3 linked regions of the Arabidopsis thaliana genome follow. The protein of the gene in region 1 interacts with the protein of each later gene in a pairwise test. Each region holds a gene or a part of one and is shown in the gene's direction. Other genes may lie near its edges. The genes, in order: APC2, TOC64-V and AT2G19080.

Region 1 (9,999 bases):
TGAAGTGACATTGACAATACGAGCTCCTTGACAAGCATGTCTCATTAGTGGAATCATGGCGTTGATTATGTTCTTGGTGCCATAGTAGTTGGTAGATATAACCATATGCGAGAATTCAACAGAGTTATCTGATCCAACATTGTAGTTTACTCCTGCATTATTAATCTGCATGACAAAAATATTTCACATCATAACTCATCAAGAGAAAAGCCTTTAGTATCAAAGTCTTTCAAATGAAAAGCTCATTTGGTTATGTGAATTAATGAACAAAAGGAACCAAACTTACTAAAACATCAATAAATCCATATTTTTCTTTAATCCATTCGCAAAACTCTTGGATTGAGGAAGAGTCCAAGATATCGAGGCGGTGGAAATCAACATTGAATCCACCTTCTTGAAGGATCTTGGCGGCTTCGACGCCTACATTCTCGTCTCTTGATGTTAGAATAACTGTTAGTCCATGTCCAGCCAATTGTCTCACCATCTCAAATCCTATTCCTCTATTCGCACCTGTTACCACCGCCACGGTTTCAGAGGTCCACCACCTAAACAATCCCCCATTCAAGAAATAAAAACCAATATGACACTTAGTTATCAGCAAGACAACAAAAAAAAAAGATCGAATGAATCTCATATATAAGAAACCAAAAACTTATTTAAACGTCCAACAAAATTGTTTTCAGTTTGAGATATCGATGGAACACAGAATTTCATAATTGCATCTCGTGGACGATAAGCTTGTACCAAGTAAACTAGTTTATATGTTTTGACTAGACCTAAATGTAATTCTTCCTACTGAGTAAGGGATATATACAAACATTTATTATAATCAAAATTTCATAGATATGAAGACATAAAAATTTAGAATGGGAATATTGATACCTCTGGTGATCAGAATAGGGAATAGTACGAAGGAGGGAGATCTCTTGGAGTCTCTTATCTCGTTTCTCTTTCGATTTTTCTTTGCTTCCTACCATCTTTCTTCTTATTTTCTCTCTTCTACGATCCTAAGTATGTTTATTTTCACGATAAGAGGAGGCAAGAAAGAACACAGAGCTTCGTCGTCGTTCTCATCTCCCTCTCACATAATTTTCTCATCCTTTTTGTGGGTCAAAAGGTGCAATCCCCCACTTTCTGCGTAATTTTTTTGTGGCCTCTCATTTCAAATTCATCTGATTCCTATTTTTAGTTATAGCATCTGTTATGGGAACATAAATTAGCTGGGGCCTAGCTAGGGTGTGGGCTCTCAATACGAACCAAAGTTTTGTTCATTCTGTTTTAGTTCCTATTAATAATTCGACCATTTCTTAACAAAAAAAAATAATAATTCGACCATTTGGTTTTGTGGCGGTTTAAAATTGAGAAAACAATCTTATTTAAGAGTCTCTCGTGTTACACACTCTCACTACGAATCTATGATCCACATGACCACATGCATGTCACGTTGCATCCTCTCACATTTTGATAAAATTTATTTGGGACATTTTCGGTATATAGCTCAAGGCTCACAATCTCTCATATAACAGCTAAGATAACGTTCTTATTCTGGTTTAGATATATATAATGAAGAAATTAATTAGTTTCAATGTGTCATATCCACAATTATTCTAATTTTTCTTATTTATTATATATTTAATTCTAATATCTTTTTTTGCCAAACACTATTAATTCCATATACTAATTATTTTTATCAACTAAACTTTTTTTAATTGTGGTATATTTATTTTTGGTATATTATTTTTTATAGGTAAAATTATGTTATATTTATTATTTTTATCAAAAGTAAATAAATATATTTTGAATAGATAAGATAAGATATTTTTTCTTTCACATATTTTTGGGATTAATATTAGATTAAAATATAGTTAAAATCGAGTAAGTTTGGTTAAATTCTGGATAAATAGAAAATATTGTCTATTTACTGATCGATTCAATTAGAAACATAGTTTTAAGAATAAATCCAAAAATACATATAATTTTATTAGTTGCAATTAGTCAACCCTAAAAACAATTGACAAAAAACAATTAAACTAAATATCCTACTACAGTTTTTAACTCTGGCATAATATTGAATCAACAATCAAATCATCTAAAAGAATATGTAGTTCTCTATTCCTCAAGATTTTATGTCTACTTTCGGCTCGTCATATCAATTTGTACTGTTGTACATATCTAAGCCAAAAAGAATAAAAATTAGTTATAATCATATGTGATCAAGAGAAGGCCACGACAAGTATAGGCCCATTAATGGGTCCATAAGTACCCACTTTCATTACAGAACAACACTTTCCTGCCGAAAAGAGAGAGAGAAAACAAAACAAAAAATGGCTACCCGAAAAGCTCTGATCAACGTTCACCGGATCATTCGCTCCACCGCCGTGGTTGGCCGGAGCTCTATCATTCCTGCCGCCGCTAACCGGTCATATCCTATTATATTCCGGTACTTTAACTTTCTCTCCACCGTAATAATAGTGATCTGTGTATTCGTGAACACGCCTGAAAAAAAAATTGTGGGATTGATATTTTTTCTAGGAATGGAGTTGATTTGGGGGCGAGATTCTTCTGTGAGAACACTGCGTCTGCCCAGAATTTCGATATTGATCTCTCTAACGAAGAGAATAAGAGAAGAACGATCAACAGGTATGGTTATAATTTTGGATTCGATTTGTTTCAAATGTTGGTGATTGATTGTTAGGGTTTTGGTGATAGATTGTTGTATAGGAGCAAGCAAAGAGGGTTTTTGGAACTTGATCTTGTTTTGGGGAATTGGGTTGAGGAGAATGTTAATTCCATGGACGAAAATGGTGTTAAATCCCTAATTCATGTCCTCAATTTGGTATGTTTCATTGTCTCTTCTTATCAGTAAAAATTATCTTTATGTATATGAATATTTGCATGTTTAGGTAGAATCTGAAGCTACCAAATTACTTGTATGGAGGAGTTGTTTAACCAGATTGAGGTTGTTTCTGTGATGTGATCTAATCTCGAAATGATCCATACAAGTAATTTGGTTGGTGAAAACTTTATTATGTTCATAGTGACGTCAAAAGGTGTAATCAGGAATTTGTTAGATTATTGCATTCAATCTTTTTTTGTTCTATGCAGGAAAACCCTGATCTCTGGAAATGGCTAACTGAACAGGAACAGCCTCCGGAAGCAGTGAGTTCAAATCCGGTAATCACAATCTCTTAATCGAGTCTACGTTTAAACAGTATATCGTCTTTTGTTTACTTCAGTGATTAAAACAATCCTTGTTGTGATGTTAAAGGTGTTCTCGGCGTTACACGAGAAAGTCATGAAGAATCTGAACAAGCATGCAGCGCCAGAGACTCGTGCAGCGGCTGGACAGCCCTGGGTCAGAGGATGGGACGATTTCAAGAGAGGCCGTGATGCTCCCATTTCAGGGAATCAGTAAACATAAACTCCTCTTTTCAAAAAGTATCAAAGTGAAAATAAGTTATGATATGAAAATAGATACCAAGTAGTAGCAACCATTACTTTACTATTGTATTAATAAAGAACCAGGCCGTGAAGAAGGTCCATGGCGTTGAGATAATTACAGTGTTGTGTCTTGTTTGTTGAAGTTTCCAAGCTAATATTTGGTGTTACTAGATTTTGCCTAGTTTTGGATAAAATGTTGTCCAAATTTAAAGAGATAAGATGGTAAGATATCTGTCAAAAGATATTATGGTTTACATTTGTCACAGTCACCAAACCAAGATTGAATTTGGTCATTTTTAAAAGCTTGTTAAAGTTCATATGAAAATTAAATACACAGAAATGAGGGTGTTAAATATGTAACTAATACACATCCATAAGCTAGTATAGAAATAATATATCAGGATGCAAAAAAATGTAACTTCGAACAACACAACATACCTGACGAAGATGTGGGTTTTCATATTGCCCATGACAAGATGCTCTAGGACCATCTTCTTTTACTTATTTACATCATTCTTTCTTCAACGATAACTTTGTGTATAAATCTATAAATCATTCTTCTGTAAGTAATGATTTACATCCTCATACATCGAGCAATTGAAATAACTAGAATATGATGTTTATAGAGCTATCTCGTTGTAGAAATATGCAAACTCATATCTTAGTTATGTATGGTTTTGTTGTTAGAAGTTACATTCTTTCACTTTATTTCCTTCCAATATATTATTTCTCCAAGGGATCTCTTACCCTTTTACAGCTATAACCAACATTTTTATCAAATAATTATCATTTTGTGCCTCAATAGCTATCAAAAGCTCTCTTTTGGTCTTTCTAAGTATGGAGGAGGCGATATCAACAACAACACTTACCCATTGTGAAGTTTTAGAGTTTGTTAAAAATGAAAAGTAATATCGTATCAAAGTCTTTTGACTACACATTGAGAAAACCTTTATTTTAAACATGAGATATTGCACATTTACGCATATGCTCCGGGAGGTGTGTCAAGAAAAATCTAGTCTCTTTGGACCTGTCAAGTGTCAACAATCACCAAAAAAGACCTTTCAGAAAATAATAAAATATGTTATACGAATAAAGGTTTTTTGATTTTTTAAGTAAAAATAAAAAGTATTATAATAAAAAGTTATGAAATCATATAATAATAAATTTAAATGGAAGAATATCCCATGAGAATCTCAACTCCGCACCATTGGAGAGATTGGCCCCTTCTTCTTCTTCTTCTTCTTCTTCTTCTTCTTCTTCTTCTTCTTCTTCTTCTTCTTCTTCTTCACCTGCATCAGCACAATTTCCCAATCTCTTCTTCAAATTTAGATCCTTTCTTTCTTCAATCTCTGTATTCGATTAGATTCATCTTTCTTCACTCGAATAACGGGTTTGAGATTCTCTCTACGTTACGCGTTTTTAAATGGTGACCGTTTCTGGAGATTCATTGCAGATCTGAATAAGAGGATGACATGATCACAAACCCAGAATCTCAAATTCTGATTTTTATTCCTATTTGTTGTTGATCATCATGTCGACGACTCATGTTGGTTTACCAACGAAAATGGAAGCTACGAAGTCGTCGAAACAAAATTGTTGCAACCCGGTTAAGAAACCCGGACCCGTTTCAATTGATCATGTTCTCTTAGCTCTCCGTGAGACAAGAGAAGAGCGAGATTTACGAATCAGGAGCTTATTCAGTTTCTTTGATTCTGAGAATGTTGGTTACTTAGATTGTGCTCAAATTGAGAAGGGGTTATGTGCGCTTCAAATCCCAAGTGGGTATAAATACGCTAAGGAGTTGTTTAGGGTTTGTGATGCGAATAGAGATGGGCGTGTGGATTATCATGAGTTTCGTAGATATATGGATGATAAGGAGCTTGAGCTGTATAGAATCTTTCAAGCTATTGATGTTGAGCATAATGGTTGTATTTCTCCTGAGGGACTTTGGGATTCACTCGTTAAAGCTGGTATAGTTTCATTTACATGCTCTGAGCTTATTTTGGTCAAGAATCAAACTTGCAGATCATATTGTTGTTAGATCATTATAAGTCTATAGCAGGAATGTCTTAGATTGTGACTTGGTGAGAAGTTTGAAGTTTGTACAATCTTTGGGGATGCAATCTTGGAAAGTGGAGAATGAGAGTGATAGTTAGGCGTTTACTTGCAGTGTAGGTTGATAAGATTGTGCTAATCTTTTTGCTATATATGTATGATCATTAGTGAAGATGAGACTCTTGTGAATCTGAGTGGTTAAATAAATAATAGACGAATTTGTTTGTTGTTTTTTGGTTCTTTGAGACTGTATATAATTATCTAAAACATCTATGAAGTTTAAGTATGAAGACTTCCTATGGATGTGTATTGGTTTCATTTGGTGTACCATAGTTAATACCTTTCAGTTCTTTGATTTTAAGAATAAGGCTTGTTAATTTTCATTCATATGTTCAAATTTTATATGAGTTCTATGTGTAGAAATAGTGTCAATTGCAACTTTTGTTTATGCTCTGTTTTCGTCCTATAAGCCACAACAGTTTCTATTTTGCAGGGATTGAGATAAAAGATGAGGAGCTTGCTCGTTTTGTGGAACATGTTGACAAGGACAATGATGGAATCATTATGTTTGAAGAATGGAGAGATTTTCTTTTGCTGTACCCTCACGAAGCTACCATTGAAAATATATACCATCACTGGGAAAGAGTATGTCTTGTAGATATTGGAGAACAAGCTGTAATTCCAGAAGGCATCAGCAAACATATAAAGAGGAGTAACTATTTCATCGCAGGTGGACTTCCTTAATTATTTGGAGCTTATTTTCTCCGAACAACGTAAAAAGATTTGGTTATAAGTTTTCTGACAACATAATAGTGCTGTTACAGGTGGCATAGCTGGTGCAGCTTCTAGGACTGCTACTGCACCTCTAGATCGCTTAAAAGTTCTTTTGCAAATTCAGAAAACCGATGCTAGAATCCGAGAAGCCATAAAGTTGATATGGAAGCAGGGTGGAGTTAGAGGTTTTTTTCGAGGTAACGGGTTGAATATTGTGAAGGTAGCACCAGAGAGTGCCATCAAGTTCTATGCATATGAGCTTTTCAAAAACGCTATCGGTGAAAACATGGGTGAAGACAAAGCGGATATAGGCACAACAGTTAGACTTTTTGCTGGAGGAATGGCTGGTGCAGTAGCTCAAGCCTCTATATACCCTTTAGATCTTGTGAAAACTCGGTTGCAGACTTACACGAGCCAAGCAGGTGTTGCTGTTCCCAGGCTTGGAACGCTCACCAAAGATATATTGGTTCATGAGGGTCCACGTGCCTTCTACAAAGGTCTTTTCCCTTCTCTTCTTGGGATTATTCCTTACGCGGGTATTGACCTTGCTGCATATGAGACATTAAAGGACTTGTCCAGGACATATATTCTTCAAGACGCTGGTAAATCTCTTAACTGCTATAGTTTCCCATTCTGTCTGATACTGCTTGAATGTAGGACTCATAAAACTTGGCTTGGGTTTGGTCTTCAGAACCAGGTCCGCTCGTGCAACTAGGATGTGGAACAATCTCAGGAGCTCTTGGAGCAACCTGTGTCTATCCTTTGCAGGTTGTGAGAACAAGGTAATTCCATAGCCCATATGCTTCACCTGCTCCCTCTGTCTTCCTCAACACACAAACTCCATACACAATCATAAAATGCATAAATGAAATATATCTCACTGTCACACAGAATGCAAGCGGAACGAGCAAGAACCTCGATGTCAGGAGTATTCAGGAGAACAATAAGTGAAGAAGGTTACAGAGCACTCTACAAAGGGCTACTACCGAACCTTCTAAAGGTAGTTCCTGCTGCAAGCATTACATATATGGTTTACGAAGCAATGAAAAAGAGTCTAGAACTTGATTGATTTAGTGGCTTCACTTCATTTTGATATTGACGAAAAGAACGAGAATAATAAAAAGAGAACCTATAAAAGTAGGTTATTTTTAACATACATAATTCTTCTAAACATCATTTGTATGAGATAAATACTATAATAAGATTCTCGCTTCTCCAAACTTTAAATATTTAAGGCCACTGCTGTGTATTATCCAACTGTTATGTACGCTTGTTCAATGTTGTGTGCATATGGACCCGGCCCTTATAATGAGAGCTGGTGTTATGAAGTTGAACGTTGAGTATGTCTGACAGTCTGAGAGGTAGACAAGAGACAGAAAATGAAGCTATATGATGTTTTGCTTCAAATCTTCTTTTATGTTTTTAATCTTTATTTGGCTTTATCTTTTAATGTGTTTGGATTTTTCTAGAATCTGAGTTCATTTGTATTCCGATCCAATTGAAACATGTGTGAGGTTTATTCCCCCGATCTCAACATCATTTATTTGACAATACGAAGGTCAAACACCATAATAAACAGAGCGAGAACCACAATAGTAAAAACAGAGCATATGAGTGAAGGAAAATAAATAATTTCAACTAAGGTGTAGTATTAATAAATGTATGTATGCTGTCATATCAGCAAGTGGACGTGCCGGAGTGGTTATCGGGCATGACTAGAAATCATGTGGGCTTTGCCCGCGCAGGTTCGAATCCTGCCGTTCACGCTTTTTCTTTTTCAATTTTAGACAATTTCTTTCACTTTTAGATGAAATAATTTAGACGTCTCCGCATTGCCGAGAGTCTGAAAGGAACGTTGAATAATTTGCTAATGGTAAATTTGGAAAGAAAAATCGTAACGTTTTTAAAAGAAAACAATTGTATTCATAACATTATGCAAATAAACTACTGTAACCATCTACGACTACGAACATCATATTATCTAATATAAAAAAATGCTTAAGGTCTAAATCGTTCTTCTTTGTTATTTTTTTGTTTTCAAGCTCTACATATTTCTATTCTCAAATTAATTTAAAGTACAAATTGAATACGTAAAAGAGATCTATAAGATCATTTCCACTGAGAGTATCTCAACAAAGTTTCTCATTATTAAAATAATTAAAATAATAAAAAGAAAAGAGAGAGTGTAGAAAGTTTCTCAAGTGAGAAACTATGAGATACTCTCTACAAGCCATCATTATATTTCTCTCCTCTCAATTGGTTCAATTTTTTCATGAAAATAAAAATTTAATCATATAATAAAAATTTAATAAAATACTAATATTTTTTTTGTTTGATAAACTTTTTGGGTTTTTCCTTGATGGAGATGCCCTTAAGTTTCTCATTTAAGAAACTATGAGATACTATTTACATGCAATTATGACATTTCTCTTCTTTCAATTGGTTTAATTTTTTCATTAAAATAAAAATTTAATGTTTTTTGTTTGAGAAAATATTTAGGTTTTTTATGGATGGAGATACTCTAAAATTTCGAGACTGTGAGAGATGACAAATAACAAAACAAAAATTTTTATTAGGTCTTTGAGCTTAAGCCAACACTCCTACAACCTTTGCTACTTTTTGCACCGTTTTTCTCAAAAGAAAAAACAAATTAATCATACAATAAAAAAAAGCATACAAAGAAATCTACAGTCAAGAGAGTATATATATATATATATATATGTATACAAATATTAATGTTTTAAAAAATAGTAAGGGAAGTAAAATTACGAAAAACATAATAACTCATGCTTCTTTCTTTTATTTTTTTTGTTTAGGCCTTTTAACTCTGTGTGTCCTTTAGAAATTCTCTTTGTGGAAGGAGAATCTGGTGCTTGTTTTGTGGGTGAAATCTAAAGCTAGATGCCTTAGCTCCTTTGTCAATGCTGGTGCTCCACAGTAAAACACTCCTGCACATACAAAATCAAGATTCTTTAATCCAATCACTTTTCATTTCTATATAACCGCGAACATAGTAGAGAAGAGAGATGTGAGCTTACCAACTTTGGTGTTAGGATGATCCATAGCTATACGCTTGTAAACATTTCTCCAATTAGGTTTAGCGAAATGGGACATAACTCTTGTTCCAGAGACAATGTCGACGCCGTTCTTTGCATGGTTTAGTGATTGAAGCATATGTATAAGTGCGGAACGAGCGTCACCTTCTTCATAGACACTTGTACAATAGTTATGCATTTCGATGACGCGGTTGGCATCTCGTTCCGCGACTTCGTTCATTATGTTCTTGAACCAATCGAAAGAGCCTTGCTCACGCGTAACCCAATAGAAGTAAGCTCTACGGGTCCTGAAACTCTCTTTCTTACTTCGTTGTGGTTCGCTTGTTCCATTCTCCATTCGGTTTAGTTGGGCTTGTTCCTTGGCCTTGATGTTATTAACAATGTCTTTGACGATACTGATCATTGGTGTGGCTCCAATCCCGAGACCAACTAGTAGAACCACCTCGTACTTCTTGTAGTCTTGTGCTGGTGCACCATATGGACCATCAATCAAGACTTTCGGGAAGCTGTGGAATCAGTGTCATTGCCATTAGCCAAAGCAAAAGAAAGAGACTAAACGTAGATGGAATTGTTCAGATAACAAAATATCTTGGTTGTAGCCAAATATTAAGTAAAAATTTAAACATCTATTTTGGTATAAGTAAAAGTTCTAAACATAACTCGTCATATTAAC
Region 2 (10,908 bases), about 18 Mb from region 1:
TTAGATTTATGTATGTTTTACATGCCTTTATCAGCAATTTTCTCAGGGTTGATATTTCTGTCATTGACGCATTGTTAAGCTAGTTGGTTGAAGTTGAATTTATCTGTCGGTAATTACTCTGAAAAGGTGCATTCGATGCCTTAATCAGTTTTACCTTGACCTCAGATAAGAAGATGAAAAACATCTAATACCTACTTTTGTTATATGGCTCCTTCCCCTCTATAGATTGTAAAGTTCTTTATTTAAGCTCGCATTATTATTATCAGGAAGATTTGTTTTGAAGTGCTCTGATTTCGAAATACTTATCTATGTAGGATGACACTGATCTGGCGTTATTTGAGCAAAGTGCACAAGATAATTTTGAGACATTTTCCAGTCTCCTTGGCAGTGAAAATCTGCAACCTTTTGGAATTAGTTATCAAGCTCCTCCTTCAAATATGGACTCTGAATATATGCCTGTAATGAAAATATTGCGAAGAAGCGAAGATAGTTTGAAAAAAGTCGATAGTTTTTCTAAGTGGGCTATTAAAGAACTTGGGGAGATGGAGGATTTGCAGATGCAGTCTTCACGTGGAGATATTGCATGGACCACTGTTGAATGTGAAACTGCAGCAGCTGGGATCTCCTTGAGCCCTTCTCTCTCTGAGGATCAGCGTTTCACCATAGTTGATTTTTGGCCAAAAAGTGCAAAGACAGACGCAGAAGTTGAGGTAATTTCACTGTACATATTTGGAAAAATTGATTGGTGATGTACCATTCTATTAAGATGGTTAAGTTTGTTTATCCATTTTCCAGTTTCCAAATAATTTTTGTGGTTAAGACTTTGAAGCAATTGCAAAATATTTCGTGCTATATTTTTAGCTGGGTGCTGGGGTTTAAAGTCCCTTATTGATGTTCATGCAGCAGTTTCATTTTGATGATCCTGCTTTCTCATTATTTTTATTAGTAATGCTTTTTCCGTTTTGCTGATTTCGCTCTCTGTTTTGGTTGTTTTGTTGTGGTGACTAATTTCTTTTTTATGTATCACTCTATTTGCAGGTCATGGTTATTGGGACATTTCTACTTAGTCCGCAAGAAGTAACTAAATATAATTGGTCATGCATGTTTGGTGAAGTGGAAGTTCCTGCTGAGATTTTAGTAGATGGTGTTCTTTGCTGTCATGCTCCACCGCATACAGCTGGTCACGTCCCCTTTTATGTTACATGTTCCAACAGATTTGCTTGCAGTGAAGTACGAGAATTTGATTTCCTTTCTGGTTCTACCCAAAAAATCAATGCTACAGATGTTTATGGTACCTATACAAATGAAGCATCACTTCAGTTGCGGTTTGAGAAGATGCTTGCTCACAGGGATTTTGTTCACGAACACCATATATTCGAAGATGTTGGGGACAAACGAAGACAAATCAGTAAAATTATGTTGCTAAAGGAGGAGAAAGAGTATCTCCTTCCAGGGACATATCAGAGAGACTCAACCAAACAAGAACCAAAAGGACAGCTTTTTAGGGAACTGTTTGAAGAAGAACTATATATATGGCTCATACATAAAGTGACTGAAGAGGGTAAAGGTCCAAACATATTGGATGAAGATGGACAGGGTATTTTACACTTTGTTGCAGCGCTTGGGTATGACTGGGCCATTAAACCGGTGTTAGCAGCAGGAGTTAACATTAACTTCCGTGATGCCAATGGCTGGTCTGCCCTTCATTGGGCTGCGTTTAGTGGCAGGTATGGACCTCTATCTCACATATCTTCAATTTCCTTTAATCATAATATTATTATTTGAGATTTTGCATTTCGTTTAAGATGCTCACATTGATGATGCTTTAACTCTATTATTTGGTCAACATTGCCATATCAAACTAACTCCTTTTCCTGTTAACTATAGGGAGGAAACTGTCGCTGTGCTTGTCTCTCTAGGTGCTGATGCTGGGGCATTAACGGATCCATCTCCAGAGCTTCCATTGGGTAAAACAGCAGCTGATTTGGCTTACGCAAATGGACACAGGGGAATTTCGGGATTTCTTGCAGAGTCTTCCTTAACTAGTTATCTTGAAAAGCTAACAGTGGACTCAAAGGAAAATAGCCCTGCCAACTCTTGTGGAGAAAAAGCTGTTCAAACAGTCTCTGAGCGAACCGCTGCTCCTATGACCTATGGCGATGTACCAGAGAAACTTTCCTTGAAGGATTCACTTACTGCTGTCCGTAATGCTACGCAAGCGGCTGATCGTCTCCATCAAGTATTCAGGATGCAATCATTCCAACGGAAACAGCTGTGTGATATTGGCGATGATGAAAAGATTGATATCTCCGACCAGTTAGCTGTTTCTTTTGCAGCTTCTAAAACTAAGAATCCAGGACAGGGTGATGTCTCTCTTAGTTGTGCTGCTACCCATATCCAGAAGAAATATCGTGGTTGGAAGAAGAGAAAAGAGTTTCTTTTAATCCGACAAAGAATCGTTAAAATTCAGGTTTGCCTTTCATTGAGTTTTTTTTTCTCCCCCTTATTTCTTTGCATAAGTCTTTTGTCTGGTTTCTCATTGCTGGAATCATATTACATTTACCTTTAGGCTCATGTGAGAGGACATCAGGTCCGGAAACAATACCGAACAGTCATCTGGTCTGTGGGATTACTCGAGAAAATCATTTTGCGTTGGAGACGCAAAGGTAATGGTTTGAGAGGGTTTAAACGCAATGCAGTCGCCAAAACCGTGGAACCGGAACCGCCTGTATCAGCTATATGTCCTAGGATCCCACAGGAAGATGAGTATGATTATCTTAAAGAGGGAAGAAAACAAACAGAGGAAAGGCTACAGAAGGCTCTGACTCGTGTTAAGTCGATGGTTCAATACCCAGAAGCACGGGATCAATACCGTAGACTCCTAACGGTTGTTGAGGGCTTCCGTGAAAATGAGGTACCCAAGACCCATAACATAATCAGTTAATCATATTTTGTTGAGCATTCTTGTGATAAATTGTTGTTGCAGGCTTCATCAAGTGCATCTATAAACAATAAAGAAGAAGAAGCAGTCAACTGTGAAGAAGACGATTTTATTGACATTGAGTCTCTTTTGAACGATGACACATTGATGATGTCTATTTCTCCTTGATTTTACTTTCTGACTCGTATTCATTTTTCCTTCTTTTACTTTCTAACTTTATTTCTTCTCTGTAAATACCATAGTTGATATTTACCGCTTAATTTATTACTTGGATTGAAATAGAATTATTCACTATTTTCTTTCGTCTTAACAATATATAACTTTTTTATTTGTTCATTTGGCTTTTCTCTGCTAATATTATATAGCCAAGTGTTGGATTACTCTGATTCATATTTGTATCCGTATTGAATATTCTTCTCTTTATTAGCTGTTTTCTGCAATTTATACATCATATTTGTTTTGGTCAAACTCATACATCAGTCATATTGTTATAGTTTAAATTTGAATGGTAGTATGATATTGAGCTAACTTTTAAAGGTTATAAATCCGGGTCGACATGCCATTTTATCTACCAAATTTGGATTGGTAAACCATTAAAGCTATAAAAAAAACTTAACTTGGATTTTCCTATAATCTGAAGATAAAATTGGATTGACGGGCAAGGCTACAGAAAATGGAAACTTAACAATAAATTATAGCAGTATATATTTTAATTTTTTCATTATTATATTGAGGTTTTTAGTGGCTTGACTAGCTTAAAATCTATTTTTCCACGAGTGGAAAAGTTCATTAAGAGAAGAAATGGCCAACAAAAGAAATTATAAACCTAAATCAATTTGTACAAGCTTATTAAAAAAAATTGAAACGAGTAATTCTAATAAATAAAGGAATTAAAATTAAAATTTCCATTTTTCTTAATTTAATTTTTTTTTTTAATTTCTTTATCGATTTCGTAAAGACAATTATTAATCAATCAAAAAGAGAAGATTCGCCTTGGGCAGACGGACTTGAGTTCACGGCTGGCCAAGTCATCACTCGTAATTAAAAGGGTTTAGACACAGTGCGCACGATAGCATCTGTGTTTGCTTCTTCCAAATCTCTCTCCTATTTTTCTTTCCCCTTTTCTCTCTTAAACCCTCCTAAAACCCTTGTCTCTCTCTCTCTCTCTCTCTCTTTCTCGTGAGATCGCGTTATGTCGAATACGCTTTCTTTGATTCAAAGCAATGCCTCGAATCCCAAAGTTTGGGTAGTGATCGGCGTGACGGTGGCCGGGATCGTGATTCTGGCGGAGACCCGGAAGCGGCGGATTAGAGCCCTTAGAGAAGAAGACTTTGGTGCTTTCTTAGATCGTTTCGAGCTTCTTCCTTTCCCTCCGCCTCCTCCTCCTGCTGCTAAACAATCTCTCTCTGGTCTTACCTTCTCCATCTCCGACGCGTATGTATCTCTCTCTCTCTCTCTCTCTCTCTCTCTCTTAAAAATCATAACCTATTTTCAAATTTGTTTTTTCCTGCTTTATATAATGATCTCGCTTATAAAGTTCAAAACTTTTGTTTGGTTTAATTGAGATTTTGACTTGCTTAGACGAAGTCATGTTGCAATGAAATGAATAAAGTTATATCGGGGTTAATGGTTTGACAGGTTCGATGTTAAGGATTATATCACAGGATTTGGTTGTCCACAATGGAAGAAGACTCATGAGGCTGCTGAGAAAACTGCTGTGGTTGTCACGACGCTCTTGAAAAATGGAGCTACTTGTGTTGGCAAGACTATAATGGATGAGCTGGGTTTTGGGTATCTCTCCACTCCTACCATTCTGCATATGAAATGACCTTTCGGTAGTTGGTTTGAAGAAAGTTTGTGTTTTGAATGTGATTTTACAGGATTATTGGAGAAAACAAGCACTATGGAACTCCTATTAATCCATTGATGCCAGATAATGTTCCTGGAGGATGTTCCAGTGGCTCAGCAGTTTCTGTTGGGGCTGAACTCGTTGACTTTTCACTTGGTATTGTTAATCTCTTCGTTTTCTCTTGGTAATGTGTTTCTTGGATTACGTTTGGTTCTTTATGCTAATCAAAAGATGCTTGATTTGCAGGGATTGATACCACTGGTGGTGTTAGAGTCCCAGCAGCCTTTTGTGGTATTCTTGGTTTTCGACCATCTCAGGGGACTGTTTCTTCAGTTGGAGTTTTGCCCAATTCTCAGAGCCTAGAGACTGTTGGTACGTTACATTCCCCTCCCTTTTAGTGTTTTTAGTGTAGTTTCAATGGTACATGCTACTCTAGGTGTTTGCCTTCCTGATTATTGAACTCATTGATTCGTTCTGTAGGATGGTTTGCCTCTGATCCATCCGTTTTGTGTCAAGTTGGACATGCCTTACTAAATCTGAGTGCAGTAACACATAGAAGGCAAAGATCTTTAATCTTTGCTGATGATTTATTCGAGCTCTCTGACATTCCTAAGCAAAAGTCGGTGCAAGTTGTCAGAAAGGCAATCGAGAATCTATCTGGCTGTAAGTTTGCAGCTGTATTGTTTCCTTCTCTTTGCCCTTCTCCAGATTCATATCTTATGTCTCTTGACCACTGGCTCATGCAGACAAGACTCCAAAACATGTTAACGTTGGCCAATATGTCGCTTCAAATGTACCAAGTCTTGCGGAATTCTGTGAGCAATCTGGGAAATCCCAAAATTCAGCATCAACTTTAAGGGCTCTTTCATCTGTGATGTTGGCTATACAAAGGTATTTAAGAAGCTCACACTTCTTGAAATTTTCACTGCATCAATACTTTTTTCTCTCTCTCGTTCCTTTTAAACGGGTGCAATAAAAGATTGTTGTTATTCCCTCTTTGCTGGAGGTTACTATTTTCTTCTTAAGTTGTATTATATGCAAATATCGAAGAAGAAAGGATTTTCTTTTTACCAGGCATGAGTTCAAAACAAATCATGAAGAATGGTGGCAAACATGCAAATCGTTTCTAGGGCCAAGATTTTCCAATGATGTTGTTACAGCTCTGAAGAGCAAAAACGAGAGCATTAAATCCCTCTACAGAGTGAAAAATGAGATGCGGGCCACCATTCAAAGCCTTTTAAAGGTAAACTCGATTTTTGGAAATTTAAAATTTTCACAGCCATTAGTGTCTTGAGGACATTTTGCCACCAAAACACTGAAGTCTGAAGAGATTGAATTATTAACTTTCATTTTTGCGGCTTCTTTTTAGTTCTATGGTATTATGATTAACCATAGATCGGTATCTTATTACTAGGAAGATGGAATTCTGGTAATCCCCACAGTTGCTGATCCCCCTCCAAGGCTTAACACAAAGAGAAATAAATCTTTGAATGAGTTTCTTGATCGTACTTATGCACTCTCCTGCATTGCAAGCATGTCTGGATGTTGTCAGGTATATTTCCATCTCCTCTTTCTCATTCAATGGTTGGGGAACATTCTTGTTGCCTTTTCCTTACTCTTCAGTCTTTAGTCATGACACAAATATATACATATTCTTCAGGTTACAATTCCTTTAGGGGAACATGGTGATCGTCCAATATCCGTGTCGCTTCTTACTTACTATGGAGGTGATAAGTTCCTTCTCGATACAACTCTCGATGTATATGCATCCCTTCAAGACCAAGCCAAACTTGCATCCAACTTAGCTCCAGTGTCTGACACCAATGGTAACATGGAGGCTTCTGAAGTTATGAAAGAAAAGGTAAAACTATCTCTTTGAGTTTGACAAATAGTATATTTGGTTCTGATCCATGATATGCTACTGGAGTTGGAATGTTCTCAAAGTTAACAGTGGATAAAATGTAATTCCAGGGCAATGCTGCATACAAGGGGAAACAATGGAATAAGGCGGTAAACTTTTATACAGAAGCTATAAAATTGAATGGAGCAAATGCTACTTATTATTGCAATAGAGCTGCAGCTTTCTTGGAACTTTGCTGGTAATTGTTCTCTTCATATCTTTCATTCTGATCTGAATATAATTTATTATGATTTTCTGATCTGAGAGTTTGTTTATAGCTTCCAACAAGCCGAACAAGATTGTACCAAGGCCATGTTGATCGATAAGAAGGTGAAAACTTGATTAGCTGCCTTATTTCTCCATCCCTCGTAGTTTGTTTTGTTACATTGTGTTTTTAACATGGTTTTGTGTTTAAGTACACTTGAGCTGGAACAAAACTATTCACTTTTTATTTATTTGATTTGCGGCGTAATACCTTTGTACTATGACTATCTAGTTTCATTATCACTCAGATCACTCACTATAGACACAATGACGCATTATTTGGAAGCTTTGATTCTTATAATAGTTATTTGTTTCTACAGAATGTGAAGGCATATTTGAGACGAGGGACTGCTAGAGAATCACTTGTACGGTACAAGGAAGCTGCTGCAGGTATGATGATTAAACTACTCTGAGATTGTAATTTTATCACATTGGAGAAACTTGTTAAAAGATAAAATTCATCTAGCTATCCAGATGAGTTACTCTCTCTAGTAGGGTATTGGAGCGTAACATTATGGTTGATCATCTCTGCAGATTTCAGGCACGCATTGGTCCTTGAACCACAGAACAAGACGGCAAAGGTTGCTGAGAAGAGACTCCGAAAACACATATGAGTTAAAAAGGATTATTACTCGATTTCTCTTGTTCACCAATCTATCTTTTCACTTATCTAAAACCCTAAAAAGGAAAGGTTTTGCTCCGGTTTCAACAGACTAATAATTTAGTGGTTTTGTGACATGTGTACAGATTGGGATGAAAACTTCTACCTCTAATTACTTGATCTGAAAAGTTTTATGGGGTCCTTTTAGCTTCTTTGTTTTCTTAACGGTCTTTTACGTAAATTACAATTTCCCCCAAGTCCAATACTGTAATTCCTTAAATTACACGGAGGGACCCATAAATGACACGTTTACAATCAATTTCTCGACAAATAACTGAATTCGTTGTTTGTTTTTTTCCTCTTCGTCATCGTCACGCCTCCGTATCTTCTCCTCTGTTTCATTTTTGAATTATTCGAATCAAAAATGTTTGATCATATGAAACTGCTGCGATGCTTCAGCTTCACGGCGTCGCGAGATTGGTTATTCCGGCAATCATTCGCAAACGCCGGTCTACGTTCCGTAACGACAGATCTCTCCCACGGCAATTCAATCGCATCAACAGCTATGCATTGTTGGATTCCTAAATCCCCGAATCGATCTAAACCTAATCTCCTCCTCCTCCACGGATTCGGCGCCAACGCAATGTGGCAATACGGAGAACATCTCCGAGCTTTCACCGGCCGATTCAACGTCTACGTTCCCGATCTCCTCTTCTTCGGGTTATCATCCACATCGGAACCAAACCGAACCGAATCTTTCCAGGCTCGGTGTCTGATGAGGTTAATGGAAGCGCACGGAGTCCAGAGGATGAACATCGTCGGGATTAGTTACGGTGGATTCGTTGGGTATAGTTTAGCGGCGCAGTTTCCGGAGAACGTTGAGAAGCTTGTGCTGTGCTGCGCAGGGGTTTGTTTGGAGGAGAAAGATATGGAGGACGGATTGTTTAAGGTGCCGAATCTAGAAGAAGCTACCGGAATTTTGATTCCTCAGACGCCGGAAAAGCTTAAGGAACTCATAAGATTCTCTTTCGTTAAACCAATCAAAGGTGTTCCTTCGTTTTTTCTCTGGGATTTTATCGATGTAAGTTTTTTCCTTTATAATAATGTCTTTGTTTGTTTGTTTGTTGATAAATGTTGGAGTTTTGAGAAATGTTGTTCAAAATGTTGAAAAGGTAATGTGTACGGAGTTTGTAGAGGAGAAGAGAGATTTGATCAAATCAATACTCAAAGATAGGAGACTTTCTGATCTTCCTAGGATCAAACAGGTACAAACCTTTATTCGGATTTTAATTTGCTTATGTAAATTTCGCAGTTCCTATAACATTGTGTGTATGTGTGTGTTTATTGGTTGAATTAGAAATCGTTGATCATATGGGGAGAAGAAGATCAAATATTTCCACTGGAACTAGGTTACAGATTAAAAAGGTAAACAACAACATGTATATTAACTATAGAGATTACCCTCTGTATTTTTTTATGTGTTTATAATAATTGTATGGTGAAACAGACATATAGGAGAGAGTGCAGAGATAGTGGTGATCAAGAAAGCAGGACATGCTGTGAATTTGGAGAAGTCCAAGGAATTTGTCAAGCATTTGAAATCTTTTCTCATTGACTCTTTGTGAATTACTTTTTCCTATAATATCAACCATTTTTATTTTTACACTATTCTTCAATATATAGGTGATCTTTCTTTCTTGTCTAAAAGCTTAAAACATCAACTGTCTATTAGGAAATTATGTTAGCTGTTAGATCACAAATACGATTATTTTATCCACGCCAGATAGAACTTGACAACTGCAGAGCCTGAGTTATACAATCTACAACAAAAATATCCAATAAGGCAATAACAATTAAAAGGCCTATTTTAGCTGGCCTTTGTTTTGATTGGTGGGCTTTGATAAAGGAAGTTAGAATATTGAAAACAAAAAAAAAAAATTGAGTTTAAATAAAATTATATACAGTTCTTTGCATGGTCCAATTTTATGTGGCTCCCCTATCGACTATCGTCTAAATTTGTTGTACAATGTGAAGGTCGAATTATATATATTGAGAAGATTCCAATAATATGGACTTCCGATACATGACAAGAGAACTGGGACCAATCTGTGTATATAAGAGAGATTGGTTTAGTCAACATGAGAAGTTGGTCGGTCGGTCGGTCGGTCGGTCGGCGGCAATACAAGGCTAACATATACACCTCACAATATTTTATTGATTAGTTAAGCCAAACTTATCCTTAACTTATAATGATTGAATCGTTAGGAATTTTATTTTGTTAAAAGAAGAGATGTATTTTACTAATTAATGTTGTGACTTACCTAATCTACTTAGTGGCACTTCTATTCTATACGAGCTGTGGATTATTGCCTTTTCTTATCAATTTTTGGCTCATCCGTTGGTGATATTATTATGTAACTAAGAAAATATATAGGGTTTAGTTGAAAGTGGTATATATTGGCTGCTTCTGCGGACTAATAATTATTGAAGCGTTTGATAAAAGTGCCGGCACTCGTCGAATGTAGACAAATACTTGGTGACGTTTTTACATTAATGTTCAAAGGACAACAAAATTCAATTCAAGACACTGACCTTTAATTTTCGGCCTTACCTATATACTTCGTTGATTATATATGCAGTAAACAACCATATGTTAGTCATTCGACGACTCATTTATTTGCAAAAGCAACAAATGATAAAATCGTAAATAAATTATTTTATTAATTATATGATTTTTTTTATAAGAATTTCAATTCTGCACGTAATAATATAGCATGTTAGTTTACAATATGTATCCCGTTGCTTGTTTAATTTACAGTTTACCATGACGTGTTTTTTTGTCAAATTATATCCCCATATATCCATCTAACAAAATGACTTTTAATTTGTATAGGACTTACTAGCAATGTTGGACTTACATTGCTTTCGCTAGTCTTTTTCAGCATCTCTAGTCAATAGAAAAGTTTAATTATTGTAGCTGTTGAACCAATGTCGTTATCAATTTATAAGTGTGGTGGTGGTCGTCAATTGCCATAATGGTCATTTCACTTAAACTATAATGATTTTGATTTTTGGTGTTTGTATTTTTTTTAACGTTTACATGTATTGAATTAAATATTTAAATTATAATATATAGGATTTTAGTTAAATTTATTCAATAATTCTTATAAGCAAACGGAAAACAAAAACACAATTTATTTATGTTGAGATATTCTTATTCATGTTTGAAAATTATTTTACCAAAAGAATGAAACTCGTACATATAAATTTTAACGTGAAACATATTTTCAAAGCCTTTCAACATAATTTGATCAAGACACTCAATCATGCTTTTATTCTTGTTTCAATTCGTA
Region 3 (9,291 bases), on another chromosome or scaffold:
TGTCCGGTGACGGTCTCGTACCTTGTAAACCCTTTCGCCGGGTCAGAGTGTTTGCTTCCGTTGGCTTTACTTCGTAGCTTCTGCAGCTGAGATGTGCTCAGTGGTAGCATCACCACAATCGTTTTCTTCTTTCTCTCTTCTACATTGTCCGTTTCTCCGATCAAAAACGGTGGCTGATCAAACTCTTTGTGGTCGAACTTTGGGGGCGACACAAACGGTGGGAGCGGTTCACCAGCCCAGAGGATTTTCCGGTCTAGAAATGGAACGGTTTCTAACGGTTCACCGCGCGCGAGTCTTCCCCATTCCGATATTAAGTGAAGCGCGCTTTGGCCATCTACGATCGCGTGGGAAACGTTGACGCTAAGGCTTATTCCACCGCATTTGAATTTGGTTACCTGAGCTAAAAATAGAGGAATCGTTTCGATAGGGTTTTTATAGTTTACTTGCGGCATAAGATTCTCGAATTCCGGCGTAGGAGAGAAGTCTTTGAAATCCGAAAGCTTCCCCTCAGATTCCGCTTCAATGAATTCCACTCCCTCGGCGTTACAATTGAGCTCGAACCGTCCCCGAGGGAGCCATCTGAGACGGCCAGCCATAGGGTAAAAATGGACTAGCACACGGCTCAACGAGGTTTTTAGGATTTCGACTACATTGCCTTGGAAAGATTCAGATGGCTTGTCGTAAAAGTAAAGGGTGGGAATGTGAGTAATTGTACCAACTTGATCCCACTCGGCTAAGGGAAACCTACCGCTCCACGTTGGTTCGGCCGGTACTATAGTGTAAGATTTTCTAAAAGTTATGGGAGCCATAACACAAACCCCCTTTCTTTTTCTCTTCTCTTTTTGAAGTTCGTGCTAAAGTAATGTTTATATAGTACACAGAATCATATGGATTCAACGAATTTTTCTTGCTGTTAGTCAAAATTCAAAAATGTTTTTCTCGTGGTTTAGTTTGTTTCCTTCGAAGCAGCTTAATTAGTGGAAGTGAGAATAAGGTTTAGTTTTGTTGGTTGTATATGATCACGCGTATTACCCTTCTTCTCTATTTTGTTCACATTGTGGATGAATATATATTTCCACGAAAAAATGAAAAAAAACGAGGTAAGAACATATAACATAAAATTCATATCACTATTAGGGAATGTGTTATACTTTTTTATGCAAGTATATTCCAAAGTATAAATTCTAAACTAAATCCTTAAGTATATATCATAAACTCTAAAAAGAAATGGTAAATCCAAAATACTAACTTCATAGCATTAAATTCAAAAGCCCACATCGCCAGTTTTGATTATATCTTCTGAATTTAAGTTGAGTTTATTTTTATAAAGTCATCTTGAAGAAAAAAAATGTGGATGATGTATTTTACACTGTTACACAGTAATTTTAGTTTTTACAAACTAACAAAAAGGAGAAAACAATTCCACTTTCTCCGAGTCTCCTCCTCCAGTAGTTTTGTCTTAATGGGTAATTTGTGGGCCTTTTAAAGCCCAAAATGAGTTATCGTATTAATAAACCCTAGTTTTAAACCCGACCGACTAAACCTTAACCCAGACCCGGACTCGACTGGATCTTCTCTTCTCGCCCCATCTCTCTCTATCGACGATCGAACTTACTTGAGTACTTCTTCTTCTTTTGACCAGAGCTCTCACACATACGAGTCACTATAATGGAAGGCGATCAAGAGACGAATGTTTATACTTTGGTGGCAAGGAAGCCTTCCTTCGATCTCCCAACAGCTTGCCCTAATTGTCTTCCTGCTTATATATACCTGAAATTAGCCCAGCTACCTTTTGAACTTGCGTTCAATTCAACCTTCCCTGATTCAGGTTTGCTTCTGTTTTGATTCCTCGCTTCGTATTTTGGTTGTTGTTAGATTAAGGTTTTGGTTGCGTGATGTGTATCTGTTGGAAGTGAACATTGTTAATTCTATTAGCTTGAATTGAGATTCGAATCCTAGACAAGATAATTTTGAGTTCTGGATTCGAATTCGTACTATTAAGATCCTGCTCTTAGGTTAATCAGAGTTTAGATAGGGTTTTTAGGCAATAGTAATTCAATTTTGAGGTGTATATATGCATTGGTGAATTTTTCTGGATAGGAAGTGTTCATCATAATTTCTTGTTATAGCTTTGGTTGAATTCCTCGTTATCGTAATTGTTAATTCGAAGAGAATGATGATGTTTCATACTTGTTCAGAAGAAATTAGTTGTTTGATTTAGCTATTGAGTTTGTATATTAACAATATCTTCAGAATTTCTATGTTATGTTTGATAATATCTCTAGACACTTCGTAATCCTTTGTTCACGGATTTACAAATTTGTGCATTCAATATTTATAAGCTTGTGTATTGACAATGTTAATCATTTGTTTTTAATATAGATGAACTGCCGTACTTTGAAAGTGATACATATGTTGCATATAACAATGAAGATGGAGGAGTAATTGAAAAACTGAAGAAAGATGGGATTGTTAATCTGGACTCTCAGCTACAGTCTCTTTCGGATTATTTATCTTTGAAGGCTCTTATTGTGTCTTGGCTAGAAGAAGCGCTTACCTATGAGATATGGGTTGGTACCGAGGGGATATCTACATCGAAAATCTACTATTCAGATCTTCCTTGGGTGATCAGCAAGGTCCTGTTTTATAAGCAGACATACTTGGCAAAGAACCGTTTAGGAATCACCAAAGAGAACGCAGAGCAAAGAGAAAAACAGGTCGGGTTTGTTTAAGTTTTGTTGTTACTTTAGAAGACCTGTGGTTTATATTTGTGAGCATTTGAACTAGTTATTAAAGTTCATAGTCTTAAATGTGAACAGATATACAAGAGAGCAAGTGAGGCATATGAAGCTTTGTCGACTAGGTTAGGTGAGCAGAAGTTTCTCTTTGAAGACAGGTATTGCAATCACATTCCGGAACTGGATTCTTTCCCTTAAGCCTTTTTGTAAAAGATTGACAATGTTTATATTATTCTCTTCCCACAGGCCATCGAGTTTGGATGCTTTCTTACTCTCGCACATACTTTTTATAATCCAAGCGTTACCAGTGAGCAGCTTTAAATTTCACCAATATATTTCTCAGTTATGGGTTTATCAGGTTGAATTTAGCCTTAGAACTATTTAGATGAAGTAGTTTTCTTAATGGTGCATGATCAGGTTACATCAGTGCTTCGGTGCAAACTTCTGGAACATAGTAATCTTGTGCGATATGCTGAGAAACTTAAGTCAGAGTTCCTTGAAGCCTCTTCTTCATCTCCTTCACCTCCACTTCACTCATTCCCTTCCTCATTTCCAAGAAAGAGTAAGACACATCTAACCTTCAACGTCCATATCATATATATTTCATCATATTATATATCTGTCATATATGCAACATTCATTGGATATGTTTAAGCCTGTGAAGGAAGTGAATTTCATCTTTTGTTCAGGTTCGAAGCCAAAGAGCAAACCAAAGGTAGAAAAGACCGAAGAGGAGAAAAAATTTAAGAAAAGAGCAAGGTTCTTTCTAGCTGCTCAGTTTCTAGCTGTCGTCATTTACGTATCAGTGATGGGAGGAGGTAGTTCTGATGAACTGGAGTATGAAGATGAAGATGACTAAACTAAAGCTTTTCTTATTAAATGGACCGGTAACTCTCAGGCGAACTCTCTGAGACTAAGATAAAAACATAACCAGTAATCTCTACGCTTTTTTCTTCTTGAACTCTTAGTTATGGAGAGGATACAGATGTGAGATTTAGTCACATTATAATGGTTTTCGACTTTTCGTTCTGAAGGAGAGCTTTTGGCTTTTATATAAATTTCATTGGTTTTTAAGGCACATCATGGGAACCGATTCACCGGATAAAATACCGAGGAACATTAGAAGACTCTTGGTACACATCCTCAGAATCAACTGAACTAACTCTATTTGTCTTACTAAATAATACAAATCTCATCCATCTAAGAAACTATCTTCTGATAGCAAAAGATGATGCCAAAAACCTACCTAATTCTAAACTCTCTAAAACCAAACAAAATTAATAACAAGTACTAGGAATTGAAATTTACATCCGGGGGCTGCTGCTCCGACGCATCGTCTGCTGGTTGGCTAACAAGCTTCGAGTGTTCATCGGCCGAGTTGATGGAAAACTCAGCTAGTGAACTAACTGCAACAGACATTCCATGGCAGAGAACCTTCACAGCAACCTCTGCAAGTTTCTCAGCAGTCATCACAACATCTTCTTCTCCCTTATCAGCCACTACAAGCTCCATGCTTTCTGACCCGGAGTATCTCCTTGACCCGCTTCCACTCCAGTTTGGATCTTCCCTAACTTGCCTTGCATATATTGAACCCATCCCTGAGGCAAAGAACTCAAGTTTGTCCAAAACTGGTTTTTCATTCAAGCTGTTAAGCAACCTTGACCATTGAATGCAGACTCGGTATATCGGGTGAAGACATGAGGATAATCTAACTTTTTCGGGGTCAGGATCACATCTGAAACATCTTAGAAGCCAACCAGATAATGCTTTCATGTAGGATCTCTGAGAGGTGATCCAGAATTCAAAACAGGTTCTCCAGTTTCGAAGCTGAGCTTCAAGATTCAAAGCAGATTGAGCTAATCTTTGAGAGTTAATAGCCTCTGGCATTATTGGAGGTTGTCTCTTCTTGTGACGCTTTGAAACCGGTGTGCCTGCAAGTAACAGTTTGGCTTCGTCTAGTGTTCGTTTCTGTATCTGGTGACTTTCCGCCATTACTTTCCACATCCTTGTTAATCTGTTATGATCATGATTACCATTTGTCAGTCTGAGGCTTAAAAGTGAAACCGAAGAGAAGGAAAAAGAAGTTGTTGGTGTTGTTACCCTTCAACGAGCTCAAGAAGCTGAGGCAACAGTTCTTGGTCACGAAGAGTCTCGATTCTTTTGGAGATGGATTCAATGGAGTGTATTGACACCTTGATCTGTGTATCTAGATCTCTGATAGTAGCCCTAGTTTTATCAACCGCAAGCGGATCATCTCCTTTCACGTCCTGATTCCTCAGCTGCATACATTTCTTTTCATATGCTCTTCGAACACGTTCTCCAGACTGTTACAACACCACAAAGACGGCTCAGTTATAACCAACAGAGATTAATATGTAGTCACTAGTTGCTTATATCTCTTGTTACTTACCCTAACTTCATCATAGAGTTTCTTCTCCCACGCGAAAAGTCTGTCCAATGTTGTTTGGTGGCTACCTGAAATCATGCAAGATTCATCTGAAACATCGCTTCTGCTTTCAGACCCGCTCTCTCTTGAACCACCAGAAGAAGTGATCAAGAATCTTGACGAGGAAGATCTTGATGAACCCGAGCGGAACAACGCTACTGGATTCAGCATTTTCCTGGCTACAAACACACATAAAAAAGGACTTCATATTTATAAGTGAAGTCATTAAACAGAGAAATATTGCAACATTGTTCATAAACTCACCACTATGGTCATTAAAGGATGATGTGTATTGAGCTCTACCAGCTTCCAATAGCCCCGAGACTTCCTTAGCCGCATCACAAATTGTTGTGAACTGATCTTCAAGATCTTTGATTACTTCAGCCATGCTAGTTGGTCTCCGGTTCACATATACCGTGAACCCCGTCGTCTTTGCATCATCTCTAACACCAACAACATTCTTCATCTCTTGAACCTTACCTACTCCAACAACATTCCCTGTAGCTTCTCCTCCTCTACACACCTCAGCTTTTCGCTGTTCTTGCGTTGGAGGAGCAACGCATTTCTCGTCTCCCTCATTCTCAGTCTCACACCCGCTATCCGTAAACTCATCATCATCCTCATCTCCATCCTCGTCTTCATCCTCATCAACATCTTCAACTTTAACTTCCTCATTGCAACAACTCTTATCAACTTTACCTCTATTCTCTTCCGTTGCTTTCGGATTCGGATTATGATTCTGAAACCGCACATTGACGACAGGTTCAGGTTTATGAGGTTCATCATCTTCTTCCAAATCAGGAATCCCTTCTTCCTCTCTAACACGTCTCAATCCTCTAATCTCATCATCTATACCACTCCTACTATCAACACTTCCTCGGTCATAACTATTGTATCCATAATAATCCAACGAAGAAAACGGATTCCAGAAGAAATCCCACTGCGAATTCTGCGGTGAAGGAGGAGGAATGTTATGACTACTTAACCTTTGCTCAGGAGAGCTCAACGGATTCCAAAACGAAGATGAAGTAGACGCAGAAGTATTCATATTCATATTCATTCCAAAGAAACCATCTGATTCACCATATTGGTTACTACTACTAGGTGGAGAAAATGTCTCAACTCTAAACGTTTCAGGAGATCTCTGTTCGACTCTAACCGGTCTACTTCTATTAGCCATCAAATAATTCGCTTTCACATTCGATCTTGGCCTACCTTGAATCATTTTCGGAGGAATCGAAGAAGGCGAAATGGAGATGAACTCACCGCTATTACTACGGCTGCTTCGACGACGTCTCTGTGGCATTCTCTTGACCGGAGTGACGAATGAGTCTTGACAGAGAGTAGGAACAAACTCATTGTTGTTGTCTCCTTGGAGGATAAAGTCATGGAGAGCATCAGAGACTTTTCTAAGAGAGTGAATATAAGCAATGTGACCAGAAGCAAACTTAGTTCTATGTTCAATAGCTTGTTTGATGAAACGTTTCCTGTCTTTACAGATCTGAACTGCTTCTTCATCATCTAACTTGGAATGAGAACATCCCATTTCTCTCTACTCTTCTTTCCTAAGCTCAAATCCAGAGCTCAAGACACTCATACAAAAGCTATGAAACAACTGAGAACAGAACAAAACAAAGACATAATAACTATGTCTGAACTCGCATTAACTGAGAAAAAGACAATAAGAAGATTCTTTGCTTAATATACAAGACAAAGCTCTTTAGTCCTTAAAACCCTTGAAGAGATTTTGCTTGTTTTCTATTAAAGGGTGAGATTGTACTCAGAAATAACAGAAACCCAGATGAGAAATGGTGTAAAATCTTGGATTTGGTGTTGTGAAAATGTCAAAAGGAAAGTAAAGAGCAAAGCCAGAAAAGAAGTTATTGAAGAAAGAGAGAGAGAAGACAAAGAAGAAGAAGAAAAAACCTAATAATGAGTCAAAAGAAAAGAGACTGGAGGAGCGTGAGGGATACACAGTAGAGAGAGAGAGAGACGTTGGAGAAAACAACGGTCAAAATTACTGTCGGATTTTGAAGGAGAGAGAATGAAAGAAAGAAGTCAAGACTCACTCGCAATCAAGAAGTTGAAGAAGAAGAAGACAGAGGCTACATAAAACAAAACCAAAAAAAAACATTTGATAGAACTAAAATCGTGTGTATTGATCGAAATTAAAAGAGATGATTAATTAATAAATAAAGTGAATGGTAGAGCTAAACTAAATTTTAATAAAGCTACGAAGAATATATATTGGCTAAGAGAAAGACGGGACACGAAGCTTATTTTGTTTCTATCCTCGCTTTTCATGTTTATTTTCGATTTTGCCACTCTGAATATTTCTTGTCTTTTTTCTGTACTAAGTTTTATGTTTATGAGTTTATATATGGCATAGTCTATTGATGTTTACATTACATTTATTTTCATACCTCAATTGTTATACTGATATTAATTTCAATCTTATAATAACATGAATATTAATATAATGACATAACGATGCAAATAGTGTAAACAACTAAATTATACTCTCTGTTTTCTTTTCTTTTTCTAGAAAATATACAAATATTAAGAAAACATATTAAATATTGATTTTAAATGTATTATACTTTGTGATTTACAATTTTTAATAACTCTAAACTAATAGTATTTAATAATTTTTATTAAAATTTACAATTTATCAATTATAATTAATAAGAATTGCATTGAAAATCTAAAAAATCAATTTTTTAGAATAATAATTTTTTCTAGAAAATCAAACAAAAATAAATAAAGGGAGTATATCATATTACCGATAGTGATTTACTTGGTAACTTCTAAATTACATAAGTTTTTTTTTTAGTTTTACTAATCTATATTTTTGTCGAGTTATATAAATTACATTTGCATGGTGGATTGTTTTGTGTAAAATGGAATCAATTCGGAGAATCTATATGAGTAGTTAAGCATGGGCAATTTAGTAACTTAATAAGCGTCGCCAGTGGGAAAATACGTTGGACGAATTTAGGAAAAGCAACAAAAAGAAAGGACCGGCCTGTAAAGTAAAAGGCAGGATCTGGACCCACATTTGTAAAAGATATCATGAAAATGCCTCGATACCTGATACGTACTTCTTCTTTTTTTTGTCCCTGGGAATTTCACGTAACCACAAAACTGCCATTAATATTGAGAACTAGAATTTCTCCGCAATCTATTTTATTGGGCCAAGCATTTACAGTCATATCTAGCACAATGGACATAATTGTCGTAAAGTTAAATTGCAGACTTAGCCCGTAACGTAGTTTCTTGAAACTGTAATTTATTACATTTAGAATGATTGAATTTTTTTTATTTTTTTTTAATATAATGTTAAATTATATTCAAAAGAAAAATTATCTTTTTTTACAACATGTGCAACTTGTTTGAAATGAAGCTGAAAGTTTAGAATTGAAATGAAAATTTAGAAACTAGAAGTGATTAGGCTCTTGTATCAAACCACATTTGGAGTCCCGCATCGTAGTGTCTATCTCCCTTTATTCGAATTGATGAAAGAATGTTTCTCACTTGTTTGTCGATCCAACCAATTAGCCGAGTTGCTGAATGCAGAGTGTTCCCATGTCGTCTTCTGTTGCGTTCGCTCCAGATTGAGTAAACCGAAGCTTGAAAGGCATAACGCACAAGAAAGTTTTCAACTCGATTTTGCTGTAAACTAGAAACCGTGTTAAGGAGGAGGTGCCAATCCGTTGTGAAACGCGTCGTTAGAATGTTCTTTGCTGTGACTGTCCAGACTTCAGAAGAATAGGGGCAGTTAAAAAAGAGGTGATCACGAGATTTTGTGGGATGATTGCAGAAGACACATGATCCTGAAGAAACCCCTTTCCAATTAGCCATTCGATCTCCCGTAGAGAGGCGATCCAAAGCTGCAAGCCAAACACAGAAAGAAAATTTTGGAGTCGCTTGATAAAACCATACTCCTTTGTACCATGTAACCTTGGTCGCAGTGGTTCGAATATTGTTCCAAGTATCTCGTGTAGAGAACTGTGGTTTATAAATGTCATTTCTTCCTCGCCAAACCACATCATCTGCTTTCTCCTTGCGGTTCGCCTTTGATGTAGCTATGACGTTTTCTACTTGATT

What was found.
Region 2: the proteins of APC2 (region 1) and TOC64-V interact in a two-hybrid assay, tested with the Arabidopsis thaliana proteins (one study listed by BioGRID).
Region 3: the proteins of APC2 (region 1) and AT2G19080 interact in a two-hybrid assay, tested with the Arabidopsis thaliana proteins (one study listed by BioGRID).

Annotation. Positions count from the first base shown.
Region 1 is NC_003076.8:20,748,376-20,758,374, forward strand, and holds APC2 (Mitochondrial substrate carrier family protein), read left to right. Parts: upstream 1-4,664; 5' UTR 4,665-4,972; coding exon 4,973-5,411; intron 5,412-5,989; coding exon 5,990-6,226; intron 6,227-6,320; coding exon 6,321-6,872; intron 6,873-6,961; coding exon 6,962-7,052; intron 7,053-7,161; coding exon 7,162-7,339; 3' UTR 7,340-7,762; downstream 7,763-9,999. Other genes in the region: AT5G51030 (NAD(P)-binding Rossmann-fold superfamily protein), read right to left, coding at 1-165, 287-545, 883-977; SDHAF2 (succinate dehydrogenase assembly factor), read left to right, coding at 2,325-2,440, 2,533-2,640, 2,710-2,836, 2,904-2,930, 3,106-3,174, 3,269-3,415; RHD2 (NADPH/respiratory burst oxidase protein D), read right to left, coding at 9,109-9,218, 9,309-9,832. UniProt on the Arabidopsis thaliana protein: Calcium-dependent mitochondrial carrier protein that catalyzes the import of ATP co-transported with metal divalent cations across the mitochondrial inner membrane in exchange for phosphate (Pi).
Region 2 is NC_003076.8:2,924,183-2,935,090, forward strand, and holds TOC64-V (translocon at the outer membrane of chloroplasts 64-V), read left to right. Parts: upstream 1-3,990; 5' UTR 3,991-4,133; coding exon 4,134-4,375; intron 4,376-4,579; coding exon 4,580-4,732; intron 4,733-4,821; coding exon 4,822-4,946; intron 4,947-5,036; coding exon 5,037-5,162; intron 5,163-5,270; coding exon 5,271-5,453; intron 5,454-5,536; coding exon 5,537-5,681; intron 5,682-5,864; coding exon 5,865-6,033; intron 6,034-6,204; coding exon 6,205-6,342; intron 6,343-6,450; coding exon 6,451-6,651; intron 6,652-6,761; coding exon 6,762-6,889; intron 6,890-6,968; coding exon 6,969-7,020; intron 7,021-7,274; coding exon 7,275-7,344; intron 7,345-7,488; coding exon 7,489-7,568; 3' UTR 7,569-7,839; downstream 7,840-10,908. Other genes in the region: EICBP.B (ethylene induced calmodulin binding protein), read left to right, coding at 315-710, 1,039-1,727, 1,888-2,470, 2,570-2,914, 2,987-3,109; AT5G09430 (alpha/beta-Hydrolases superfamily protein), read left to right, coding at 7,980-8,636, 8,728-8,820, 8,913-8,980, 9,063-9,180. UniProt on the Arabidopsis thaliana protein: Chaperone receptor mediating Hsp90-dependent protein targeting to mitochondria.
Region 3 is NC_003071.7:8,261,150-8,270,440, forward strand, and holds AT2G19080 (metaxin-like protein), read left to right. Parts: upstream 1-1,550; 5' UTR 1,551-1,668; coding exon 1,669-1,828; intron 1,829-2,382; coding exon 2,383-2,717; intron 2,718-2,819; coding exon 2,820-2,896; intron 2,897-2,984; coding exon 2,985-3,045; coding exon of another isoform or gene 3,046-3,123; exon of another isoform or gene 3,124-3,155; coding exon 3,156-3,300; intron 3,301-3,427; coding exon 3,428-3,597; 3' UTR 3,598-3,989; downstream 3,990-9,291. Other genes in the region: SHT (spermidine hydroxycinnamoyl transferase), read right to left, coding at 1-809; AT2G19090 (DUF630 family protein (DUF630 and DUF632)), read right to left, coding at 4,029-4,752, 4,839-5,062, 5,149-5,363, 5,449-6,730. UniProt on the Arabidopsis thaliana protein: Involved in transport of proteins into the mitochondrion.